Linked DNA regions of Caenorhabditis elegans. The gene in region 1 interacts genetically with each later gene. Each region holds a gene or a part of one and is shown in the gene's direction. Other genes may lie near its edges. The genes, in order: gfi-1 and lec-6.

Region 1 (8,230 bases):
GTTACTGCTGCACAACCGGAACCAACTGCAACGTCAAGGAAGCTGCCGTAAACACCACAAACACTATTCCAGTTGTAAGTTCATTGCTTAAAAATAATCAAAGTTATTCGTATCATACCATTTCAGCCAACTGGAATTCCAATGATTTTGTGCCGTTCTTCCATCTATCTCAATGGAGGACCAGTCACAGCTGACTCTTACAGTGCTTGCGCTGGATCGTGCGCCTCAATTTCTTACACTGCACCATACAATGGTGGAAACCAGACACTCACACTTTACACCTGTGATCCAGTTACTGTCTGTACCTCCTTGAGTAAGTTTTTTTTTTTAATGTATAGCCAATATATTTCATAGCTGGCCATTATTTATTCTTCGAAATTCAAAATTAATCAATTCTAGACTTGACCAACTCGTGTGCTTCTATTGACGGCGGACTCTCCGGATGCTGTTGTAGCACTAATAACTGCGTTGGTCCAAACAATGGCCCAGGAATTGTAACCACACAATCACCAGCCACAACCACAAAGGGCTCATCTTCCATCACCTTCTCAATTCTTGCACTTTTCGCTGCTGTGTATATCGCTCTGACTAGACATTAGGCCAGCTTTAGATAATTTTTCTCATTTCTTTCATGTACATATGTGCTCTTTTCGCGCATAACTTTTTGTTTGTTCTTTTTTTTTAATTTTCTCCTTTTCTTTGAAGATTCTAAATCTTAATTGTTGAGCGATCTTTACAATAAAATTATTTCTCGACACAAAATAATATTCAAAACAAAAGCATTGCCACTCCATTAAAGGTGGCCTATCACATATCATATTTTGTCGGTCTTCCGTTTTAGCAACAACTAATACATATTGGTATTGAGCGCGTTTAATGGTTGCCACAGTTTTCAATTTTCAATTAATTCAAATTTCAGCTGTATAACCGTGGATTTTTTTAAATTAAACAAAAAATTATTCGAAAATTGCTAAAGGAAGATCGGGAGAAGGCATCGGTCAAAATTTCTCGTACTTCGTTTTTTTTCGCAATTTCCTTACTAATATGATGGAATACTACAGTTTGAAACAATAAACCCACCTTTAGGCCACCTTTAGACTACCTTTAACCCAAAGAAAACAACTTGAAATTAAACAAGAATTGTAGTGTTTTTAACTGATATTTGGCTAACTAAGTTTTTTTGTTGATCTGTTGTCAATATTACACTGGCACTAAAATTACCACAGTGCGCACTATGAAACCCAATTTTTCCAGCATGGAATTTTAAAATATCGATCAATGTTGTTTCAGATACATTATAAAATTTTTAGATTCAAGGCTCTCAAAGAAAGAAATAATTAAATTGAATTTTGATTTTTTGATATTGAAATTTCCTTTCGAATTTCCGTGTTTTATGATCAGTGCTGATAACAAACGAGTGAGATGTGGCAAAAGGTAAACAAAACAATAAGTGGTGTAGTTTTGGAATGTCAGTAAGCGTTTCTGAAATTACCTGATTTTATGGAAATGGGTGTATTTTTCCCACAAACTGCTCAAACTGGCATACTGTACTCAACTAGATAGAAGCTAAAAATCGAATAGCCCCAGCGGGAAAATTCTTAAAATTTAGATAAAATAACCAAATTATTACTTACATCGTAGTTTCACAGTATTTATGGTTAAAAAAATCTGAAAACAAATTCCGCATCCCTGTGGGCTTTTTTGAGTTTTTCAGTCAAGTTTTCTCGCACTTTCTCTTGTCTGTACTTTCCCTTTCATATTCTTACTAATATGACCGAGTACTGTAGTTCGAGACAATAAACCCACAAGACCACCTTTGAATCAACGAATTGACGCAAAAATGTGCAATAAAACCAAATTTCCTGCTCCAAATGCCTTTTTGAAGCTCTTTTTCTTTGTTTGTTTCTTTTGCAGCTGAAGTCAATAATTTTGTATTCTGCTTCACAAGTTTCGCCTTCAAGGTTCTGAGAATCCACCCACTTTGTGTTTTATCGAAACTACAGTTAACAAGGACCGATTGCCGATTATGAACCAATTTCGACAATTTTGACATTATAAGAGGCTTAATTCACTCAATTTACATTAGTCAGGTACTCAATTTCTTCTTTCCGCTCGGAGAAGTCGCACTCATGTTTTAACAATCATTTTCCTATTCTTCATTTGTTGAAATTGAATATTTAATTTGCCACTAACACATTCAAATTTCAGATGCGCTTGGGCATTTTCCTGCTGGCACTTGCCGGCTGTTGTAGTTTCGCTAGTGCTAAACAAAACTGCTTAGTCGGAAATCTAATTGTATCGGAAAATGTTATTACATCAAAGTCTGTTGAATTGGTACGTCCAACCGATATAAATTCTATATTTTTCCATTTGACTACTTCAGAGAGAATGCGAAGGATTGTGCAGAAAACAAACTGTCAAATCTCCAAGCGGAGGACTTGTTCTCTTGACATGCGAAGAGAACAAGCTCATGGCTTTCATTAACAAAGGACAGGATTGCTCCAGCAGTGAGCTTGAGACATCATGCTTCTGCGAGGATGAGTTGTGTAACAAGGTCGACTTGGAAGAAAATATTCCAAAGCCAATCGAAGTTATTAATGCCCCAAAGTGAGTTTTGTTATCACTGTTTTTTTGACAACTGATAGGAATTGAGGTGTATATCTTCTTTCTTTCTTTTTCAAAAAAAAATGGACCAATTCATTCAATTATTGGATTAAAAGATCTGTATGAGTACCAAAACAACAATTTTTCATCTTGAGTGTTTCATTAACACTTTTTCAAGCAAATGCAATTTGAGAATGTGTACCTTCAAATTCGTTGATTTAAAAAAAAAACTCTCATAAAATATTGTAATTTGAAAACTGCAAAAACCAGTCCAAAATTCCAAAGCTTTATTTTGCTATATTTAATCCAATTTCAATTTGTGACTACAGTCAACGTCAAACTGATAACAATAATGGAATAATTGTTTTACATTTGGGCGCGCTTCTTATCTGATTGTGCCAATAGCGCATGCAACACAACCATGAAATGTGGCTCGATAGCTCCTCGGCATTTAAATTCCGAAATACCAATCGTGTGATAAGAAACTGATACATATGTAGTATATTTTTGGCGATCGCCAAAATTTTCCTAGGAGGAAAATCAAAGAAAAATAGTAAAATACTGATTTTGTGTGTTTGCAGCAATATCCTCTGCTACGTCGGATTCTATGCCAACAACACTACTCCAGGATTCGGATCAGGGGACACCGTCACTTGCTCCGCAGGAAATGTATGTACCAGTGTTTCTGGAGTCTACAACGGATACGACGCTGCTGCCTACGCTTGCATGCCACAAGGACTTTGCGACGGCATCTTCCCAAATATTGACCCAAATAATCCAATCGCCTGCACCAATCTCGCTGGAACCAACATTCAAGGATGCTGCTGTTACAAGCAAGATTGTACTAGCCTCGCTCCAATGAACAACCCACCAACTCCATCTCCATGGAACAAGAACAACCAGACATGCTATCAAGGAATTTCCGTCAACGGAGCTCTCTTGTATGGAGGATCCTTCTCTCAATGCTTGGGAGAATGCGGATCTGCTCGTATTCGTACCACTTACAATGGAGCCAATGTATGGGGAGAGATCTTCGTTTGCGACCCAGTCAACGTCTTCACTGCTTTGAACCTCGACAGCGGATGCATGAACCTTGACACCCAAAACATCAATGGAGTCCCAACCGCTCTCATCACCGGCTGTGCCTGCAACAGCATGGACAAATGTATTGACCCAACTGTTGTTCCACCAGTCTACCCAGTCAAGCAGCTCAGATGCGCTGTCGGACTTTACAATGGAACAACCTGGCTCGGAGCTGAAATGAACTGCCAAGGACGATGTGGACGTGTCAGGTTCAATGCCAACGGACAACAAGTTTCATACTTCACTTGCATGCCATACGATGTCTGCGCTGGATTCGGACTTGCTTCCACTGAAGGACAAACCTACAATCCACCACAAGACGAGGAACTTGAGGTGTACTGCTGCTCTGCTAGCAACAACTGCAACGTTAACAATCCATACATTCTCGGACGTGTGAATAACTCTGCTGTGTCTACCGCCAAGTATCCAGTTCTCTGCTACGGAGGAATCTGGGTTAACGGAGTTTCCATCACCAACTCTGCTTACGGACTCTGCCAAGGAGAGTGTGCTTCAGCTAGCTTCACCACCACCTTCGCCAACCAAGTTCACAATGCTACCATCTACACTTGCGATCCAGTCACAATGTGCCAACAAGCCGGAATCTCCAACTCTTGCGGAAGCGTTCTTGGAGGAGTCAATGCTTGCTGTTGCGACAATGATCTTTGCATTGATCCAAACAGAGGATCTCAACGCCCACAACTTCGTTGCTATTCTGGAGTTTCTATTCCACAAGACAAATACAACACTGGAGGAGACCAATTCTGTGATGGATGGTGCGGATCCTTGAACTCTGTTGTCAACGGAAAGAACGCAACTGTCTACTACTGCGCCCCAGTTGGAATGTGCCGCTACTTCGGACTCGGATTCGGAGGATCTTACGGAAACTGTGGACAAATCCCAGGAGCTGACCCACAAGTCACTGGATGCTGCTGCTCAGAAACTGACAACTGTCTTGCCCCAGCTGGAGTCAACGTCACTGCCATCCCAGCTCGTCGTGACCCAAGAATTGTCTGCTACGAAGGAATCCATCTCAACGGACAAAACATCAGCCAGCCTTACTACCGCATGTGCGACGGAGAATGTGTGTCTGTTTCCCTTGGAGGAACCGTCAATAACAACTCTCACTACGCTACTCTCTACACCTGCGATCCAAGCAGTGCCTGTGCCGCGATGGGACTTCGTAACAACTGCTCCACCATTGACAACTCTCTCACTGCTTGCTGCTGTGACTCCAATGAGTGTATTGATCCAACCTACAACCGTGTTCCAGGAAAAGCTCTCAAATGCTACGTCGGTATCAGCACCCAGCACAAGGGAAACATCGCAGGAGCTGAAGTTCTTTGCGACGGATATTGTGCCACCGTTTCCGCTGTTGTCGGATCCGACTATGTCACCGCCTTCCATTGCGCTCCAAGATCTATGTGCCGTTCCCTTGGACTTGACAACTCGAACAACACTTTCTACTTGGACAGATTCGTCAACGCGTACTGCTGTGATGTCTTCGACAACTGCAACGTTGCTACGTCTGGATTCAACGTCACCATTCCACCACTTGCACCAAATGAGATGCCACGCGCTTGCTATTCTGGAATTTTCATTGGAGGAAGCCAAATCTCTGACGGAGGATGGACTGCTTGCAAGGGAGATTGTGTTGCTGTCAACTTGAACACCACATACAACGGAGTTGCTACCACTGCTTCTCTTTACACGTGTGACCCATCTTACATCTGCAGAATGATGAACTCAACAAACAGATGCCACCAACAAGAACAAGGATTCGAGACTTGCTGCTGTGACAGCGATGCTTGCCTCGATCCAACATCCACCCCACCACGTAAACCATATGGAGATGGAAACCTCTGTTACGTCGGAGCTTACTCCTATGATTTGAAGGGAAATACCATCTTCAATGCCGGAGGAGAACAATACTGCGAAGGAAACTGCGCATCTGTTACTTCAACACTTGCCAACGCTAACGTCACTGTTTACGCTTGTGTCCCAACATACGTCTGTAACAGCTTGTACGTCTATGACAGCTGCCGCACACTCTGGTATGATAGAGATATCACTGGATGTTGTTGTACCAATGGACCTAACTGCAACTTGAATCAAGTTGTTCCAAGACCTCCAATCAACAATCCCGGAAGAAGACGTCCACGTGTTGAATATCCAATCACCTGCCCAGCTGGTCTTATCGTTGACGGATTCAACCAAACTCCAATGGAATTCTCCGTTTGCTTCGGTGAATGTGCCTCTGTCAGCATCAATGCTACGATCAACGGAACTTTGCACACGGCTTCCTTCTACACTTGTGATCCATCGTCTGTCTGCTACCAACTTAAAGTTCATAACAACTGTACTTCCCCAGAAGCTGGAGTCACCGCTTGCTGCTGCGACAGTGATGCTTGCCTCGATCCGAACAGAGGAAAGACCGTTCCAACTCCACCACTCAAGTGCTACGTCGGGCTCTATTCTACCAGCGTGCCATCACTTCAAACCGGAGCTGAACAACTCTGTGACGGCAAGTGTGCCTCGGTTAACGCTCGCATTGCCAATGACAACGTGACCCTCTTCGCTTGTGTTCCACACTCTCTATGCCGTTCCCTCGAGCTCTACGATTCCTGCGCCCGCATGGAGCCATACTACCCAGAATTCCGAGCTTGCTGCTGTGACAATGCTGATAACTGCAACGTTCGACAGACCCATCTTGCCAACGTGATCAACACCACCATTCCACTCACTCCACTCAATGATGCTCCAATATCTTGCTACTCCGGACTTTTCATCAACGGAACCGCTTACAGCTCGGCTGGATGGCAGACTTGCCAAGGAGAGTGTGTCTCAGTATCCATCACATCTCAATTCAATGGACAAGCCGGAACCGCTGCTCTTTACACCTGCGATCCATCCCGCGTTTGCCGTAATTTGAAAATTCTGAACAAGTGCTCCACTCTTGAGAACGGAATTACCGGCTGCTGCTGTAACACCAATGCCTGTATTGATCCAACAGTCTATCCAGCTCGTAACCCAGGAAACCAACTTATGTGCTATGCTGGTATCAGCTCGAACTACATTGTTAATGGAAGCGCAGTTAACGTTGGAGCTCAAATTCCATGTAACGGACAATGCTCATCCCTCTCAGGAGTTGTCGGTGGATTCCAAGTCAACACCTATCACTGCATGCCAAACTCGATCTGTAACTCCCTTGAACTCTACGACAACTGCAAACCAGTTTGGAATGACAACCAAGTCACTGGATGCTGCTGTAACAATGCCAACAACTGTAACATTGCCAATACCACCATCACTCCACCACCACCACCAACTTCAGTCGACTATGCTATTGCTTGCTACACTGGACTTTATGTCAACGGTGTTCCATCTACTCCAGTCATTCTCGGAGCTTGCCAGGGACAATGTGCGTCCATCTCATTGAACACTACACTCAACGGAGTTGCCACCACAGCAACTCTTTACGGATGCGACCCAAGCACTGTTTGCCAATCTCTCAACATGAACAACTGGTGTGCCTCCCCAATCCCAGGAGTCTCCGGATGCTGCTGTAACACTGATCTCTGCCTTGATCCACCAAAGAACAAGACTGTACCATCTGGATTCCGCAAGTGCTTCGCTGGAATCTACGCTCAAGGAAAGGCCACTGGATCTGAAATCTTCTGCCCAGGAAAGTGCGCCTCAATTCAAGCTACCCTCAACCAAGACCCAGTTGCTATCTTCGGATGCGTGCCAACCCAATTCTGCAGACAACTCGAGATGTACGACGAGTGCAAACCACTTCCATATGATACCACAGTTACGGGATGCTGCTGCGACAACTACAACAACTGCAACGTCGATTTGGCTGGATATGGTGGAAAGATCAATACTTCAATGCCAGTTACGAACTTCCGTGATTATCCAATCGCTTGCTTCTCTGGTCTTTACGTCAATAACATGCCAATTTCCATCGCTGGTTGGCAAGCATGTAAGGGAGAATGCGCTTCTGCTACTCTCTCAACCATGTACAATGGAGCTCTCACCAACGCTACAATTTACACTTGCGATCCAGTCAGCACATGCTATCAACTTGGAATGAACAACAATTGTACTACCATTGAGAATGGACTTTCCGGATGCTGCTGTTCTACCGATGCTTGCCTCGACCCAACTGTTTCTCCACCACGTACTCCTAACCCACTCAAGTGCTACGTTGGTCTACAATCTACCTACAATTCGTTGAGCCTCGGAGCTGAGACCTATTGTTCCGGACAATGCGCTTCATTGACTGGAATCGTCGGAGGTTTCAATGTCACTACTTATCACTGTGTTGCTGATACTATCTGCAAATCTCTTGAGATTAAGGATACTTGTCGTCCACTTTGGAGTGACAGAGAAGTCACTGCCTGCTGCTGTAACAACGCGGACAACTGCAACCTCAAGGATCCAAATGTGAAACCAGGACCAGCAGTTCTTCCAGATTTCCCAACTGCTTGCTACCAGGGACTCCTTGTCAACAACCAAACATACGGTGCTCCATTGACTCTTC
Region 2 (3,258 bases), on another chromosome or scaffold:
CGGAAATGCCATCATTGAACTTTTACGGACACGTGGCTCCTGGGTATACTTGAAAATCTTAAAGGTGGAGTACCGAAATCAGAGACTTTGTTTTTAGACCCAAAATAGCCCAAAACTACCGAATTTCGTAATGAGACGTTTTCAAAACTTCGCAAAAAAAAATTATGGCGGTTCAAAGTTCTGGAAAAACAGACCCATTTTCAGCTAAAATAAAATTTTCATTCTTTGATAAATATTGTGGTTTTTTATTAGGAGTTTATTGTTTGATTAAAGTGCATTTTCGGTCATTGGGGCACAAAAACATAGCTTTTATTTGTGCCCCACTGGCCGAAAATGTACTTAAACCAACGAATAAATGCGCATTAAACGATCACATTATTTATTAGAAAGTGGTAATTAAATACAAATTAACTTCCAGACGCAGCGACACCGAGAAGTTGGAAACAATTTGATTTTAGCTGAAAGTGGACCTTTTTCCAGATTTTTGAACTGCCATAACGTGTTGAGAAATTTTCAAGATGTCTCATTACGATATGCGGTAGTTTTGAGCCTAAAAAGCAAAGTCTCAGATTTCGGTACTCCACCTTTAAGCTTTAAGTTACTGTAAACTCAAGTTTCAGAAGTTTTTAAAAGTTCAATTTTTATAGTATTGGAAAGTTTACCACATACAATTGCAATATGGCTTAACGGAGGAAGATTTTAAGAAAATGCCACATTGAAATTCTCTGAAGATTCATTGAAAGGAAAAGTACTATTTATAAGTCAGCATTAAAAAAACTGCCACGTTATATATTGTTTAGCGCTAATAAAAACCCAAGCTATTAAAGAAAATTGCGGTATCTTCTGTCTTCAATGTCAGCGGGTTTTATTACATTATTGATCGGTTTTTCTTGGTGAGCTGGTATGTACCAAGTTCTCCCTGTAACTTGGCACTTCGATAATAAGGGTTGTAAATGGTGACGTGTGGAACGAGGAACAATTAAATAACTAAAATACGAATTTAGGTTGAAAAACTCCTAAAATAAAACAATTCAGAGATTTTGCAAATTTGTTAAAACTCTAGAATTTTATCACTACTTCCTCTCTTGACGTTTATCAGCACACATCTTAATTTCCAAACTAACTCGTGACATTCTTTATGCCGGGCTGAATTTTTCATCGAAAAGCCTTTTTCAGTTCAGTAAACAAGCAACTTATCATCGAAATAGTTCGAGGCGGAGCATATGCCAACTCATCAATAAGTTGATAAGAAACACTGCTTATAAGAGACGATGGCAGGTGTACAATGTACTCAAGCCTTTTTTTCCATGATTCATGTAGTAAGGAATTCTCTAGAATCGTATTTGATGACTCATAGGCAAGAATCCGCCCATTCTGTGATGTATAAATAGATGAGGATTGTTTACATTTATTGCCCAATTTCTATTTTTTTTTCGTTGAACATTTTCCCCCAGTAGACACCGAGAATTGTTTACTTTGCCGAGGGTTTTTCATACGCTCTTATCAACTTTCAAACTACTCGGCTTTTCGATCTTTAGACATTTTACATCACCTAGTGATAAAACATGCGATTTAGAGCCAAAGAATCAGCTTACAATTCTCATAGATGTACATTTTATACGAATAGTGGTCTTAGTATTGCTCCTAACATGTTTCCCTTCCCAACTCACACAGTTGATTTCAGAATCAACCATGATCGGAGGAGGAATCGGAATCAGCTTCCGCAACGAATTCTTCAACCCACAAACCCCAGTGAACATCCCAGTGCAAGGATTCTCCAACGGTGCTCGCCTCCGTCTCGTTCTTCTCCCAACATCCGCCGATTCTCGTTTCCACATCAATCTTCGCACTCCAGACGACATTGTTCTTCACTTCAACGCTAGATTCGATGAGGGAGCTGTTGTGAACAACTCGACCAGCGGAGGAGGTTGGCAATCCGAGGATCGTCACGCCAATCCATTCCAGCAGAACAAGATCTACACTCTGGAGTTTGTGTCCAACGGTGGAATTATCTCGGTTAGTTGGATTCTGGGCTTAAGAATGTTAAGGCGGACTGTGTTCGTGCAAAGCACGTGGTGCCAGACTGTCTCGTTGCGGTTTGATCTACAAAAAATGAGGGAATTTTTCGTGACATCAGCACACTCTTAATCATGCGAAATCAGTTGAGAAGTCAGCGCCTCTTCGGCCGCATTTTTTGAAGATCACACCAAAATGGGACACTTCGACACCACGTGGAAAAGTTTGATTTTTCGTACTCCCATCTCTGATGAGCATTGGATTTCGAGCCCTGTTCACCTACTGAAACTTAATCTTTAAACTATTATATTTTTCAGATCTTCGTCAACGGAGCCCACTTCGCTGACTTTGTCGAGCGTACTCCATCCCACGGAGTCCATCTCATTGAGATCGAGGGAGGAGTTCATGTTCATTCCGCCCATGTTTCTCACTAATTTATTTAATTTTTGGTTTAAAATACTCTTTCTTTATGATACATTTTGAATTTTTGTGCAAATTTCATATCAATAAACCTTGGTTTTGAATATTTCTATTTTCTAAATTCCGAAAAATGGATTCGCAGACACTGAGTCGAAGCGCCATATTTTACGCGCAATTTCGGCAGTAATGGTAGAGGTCACCGCTATAAAGTTGATAATTCATAGTTTATTATTATGAAGCATCAGTTTTAGCGTGCTTAGCGTCCCCTAATACTTTTTAATCATTACTTAGTTCCAAAGGGCATTTTCTCTTAAAACTTCTTATCTCGAAAAAATAGTGAAGGAATTCGATTTATTCTTCGGAAAAGATTTTTTTTTGAAAATTCTTAATCAGATTTTCACTTATTTTCTTTTAATAAAGCTTTATTTTCTATTTTATATCCACTCGTTCATTTAAAGCAAGTTTCAAAAACTGAAATCGAGGAAAATACTATTTTAGGGTACTGTAGTTCCTGTTCGGTGCAAACACTGTGGCTGCGGACCGGGCACCTTATTTGACGCACAAAATTTATTTGAATTATTTTTTTTCATTTTCTCTTCGTTTTTGTCTATTTTCCAGCCAAAATGCCTGTTTTCCATTAAGTTTTTCAAAACAATTATTCGAAAATTTAAATTCTAATTGAAAAATTGCAAGAAATTACGAAAAATCCACTCGTTACACTTTTTTTCACGAGAAATAGTAAAAAATCAACTTTCCACGTAACTCTAATTGTTTTTTTGCAATGAAAGTTAGATTTAATTTTATTTTCTTCGCAAAAACTTT

The links.
Region 2: of gfi-1 (region 1) and lec-6, changing one enhances a phenotype caused by changing the other (phenotypic enhancement), as found in Caenorhabditis elegans (one study listed by BioGRID).

What each region holds. Positions count from the first base shown.
Region 1 is NC_003283.11:6,393,900-6,402,129, reverse strand, and holds the start of gfi-1 (ET module), read left to right. Parts: upstream 1-2,198; 5' UTR 2,199-2,208; coding exon 2,209-2,334; intron 2,335-2,383; coding exon 2,384-2,607; intron 2,608-3,185; coding exon 3,186-8,230. Other genes in the region: bcf-1 (bacterial colonization factor), read left to right, coding at 1-74, 127-313, 400-599.
Region 2 is NC_003281.10:598,793-602,050, reverse strand, and holds lec-6 (Galectin), read left to right. Parts: upstream 1-1,684; 5' UTR 1,685-1,692; coding exon 1,693-2,016; intron 2,017-2,333; coding exon 2,334-2,450; 3' UTR 2,451-2,541; downstream 2,542-3,258.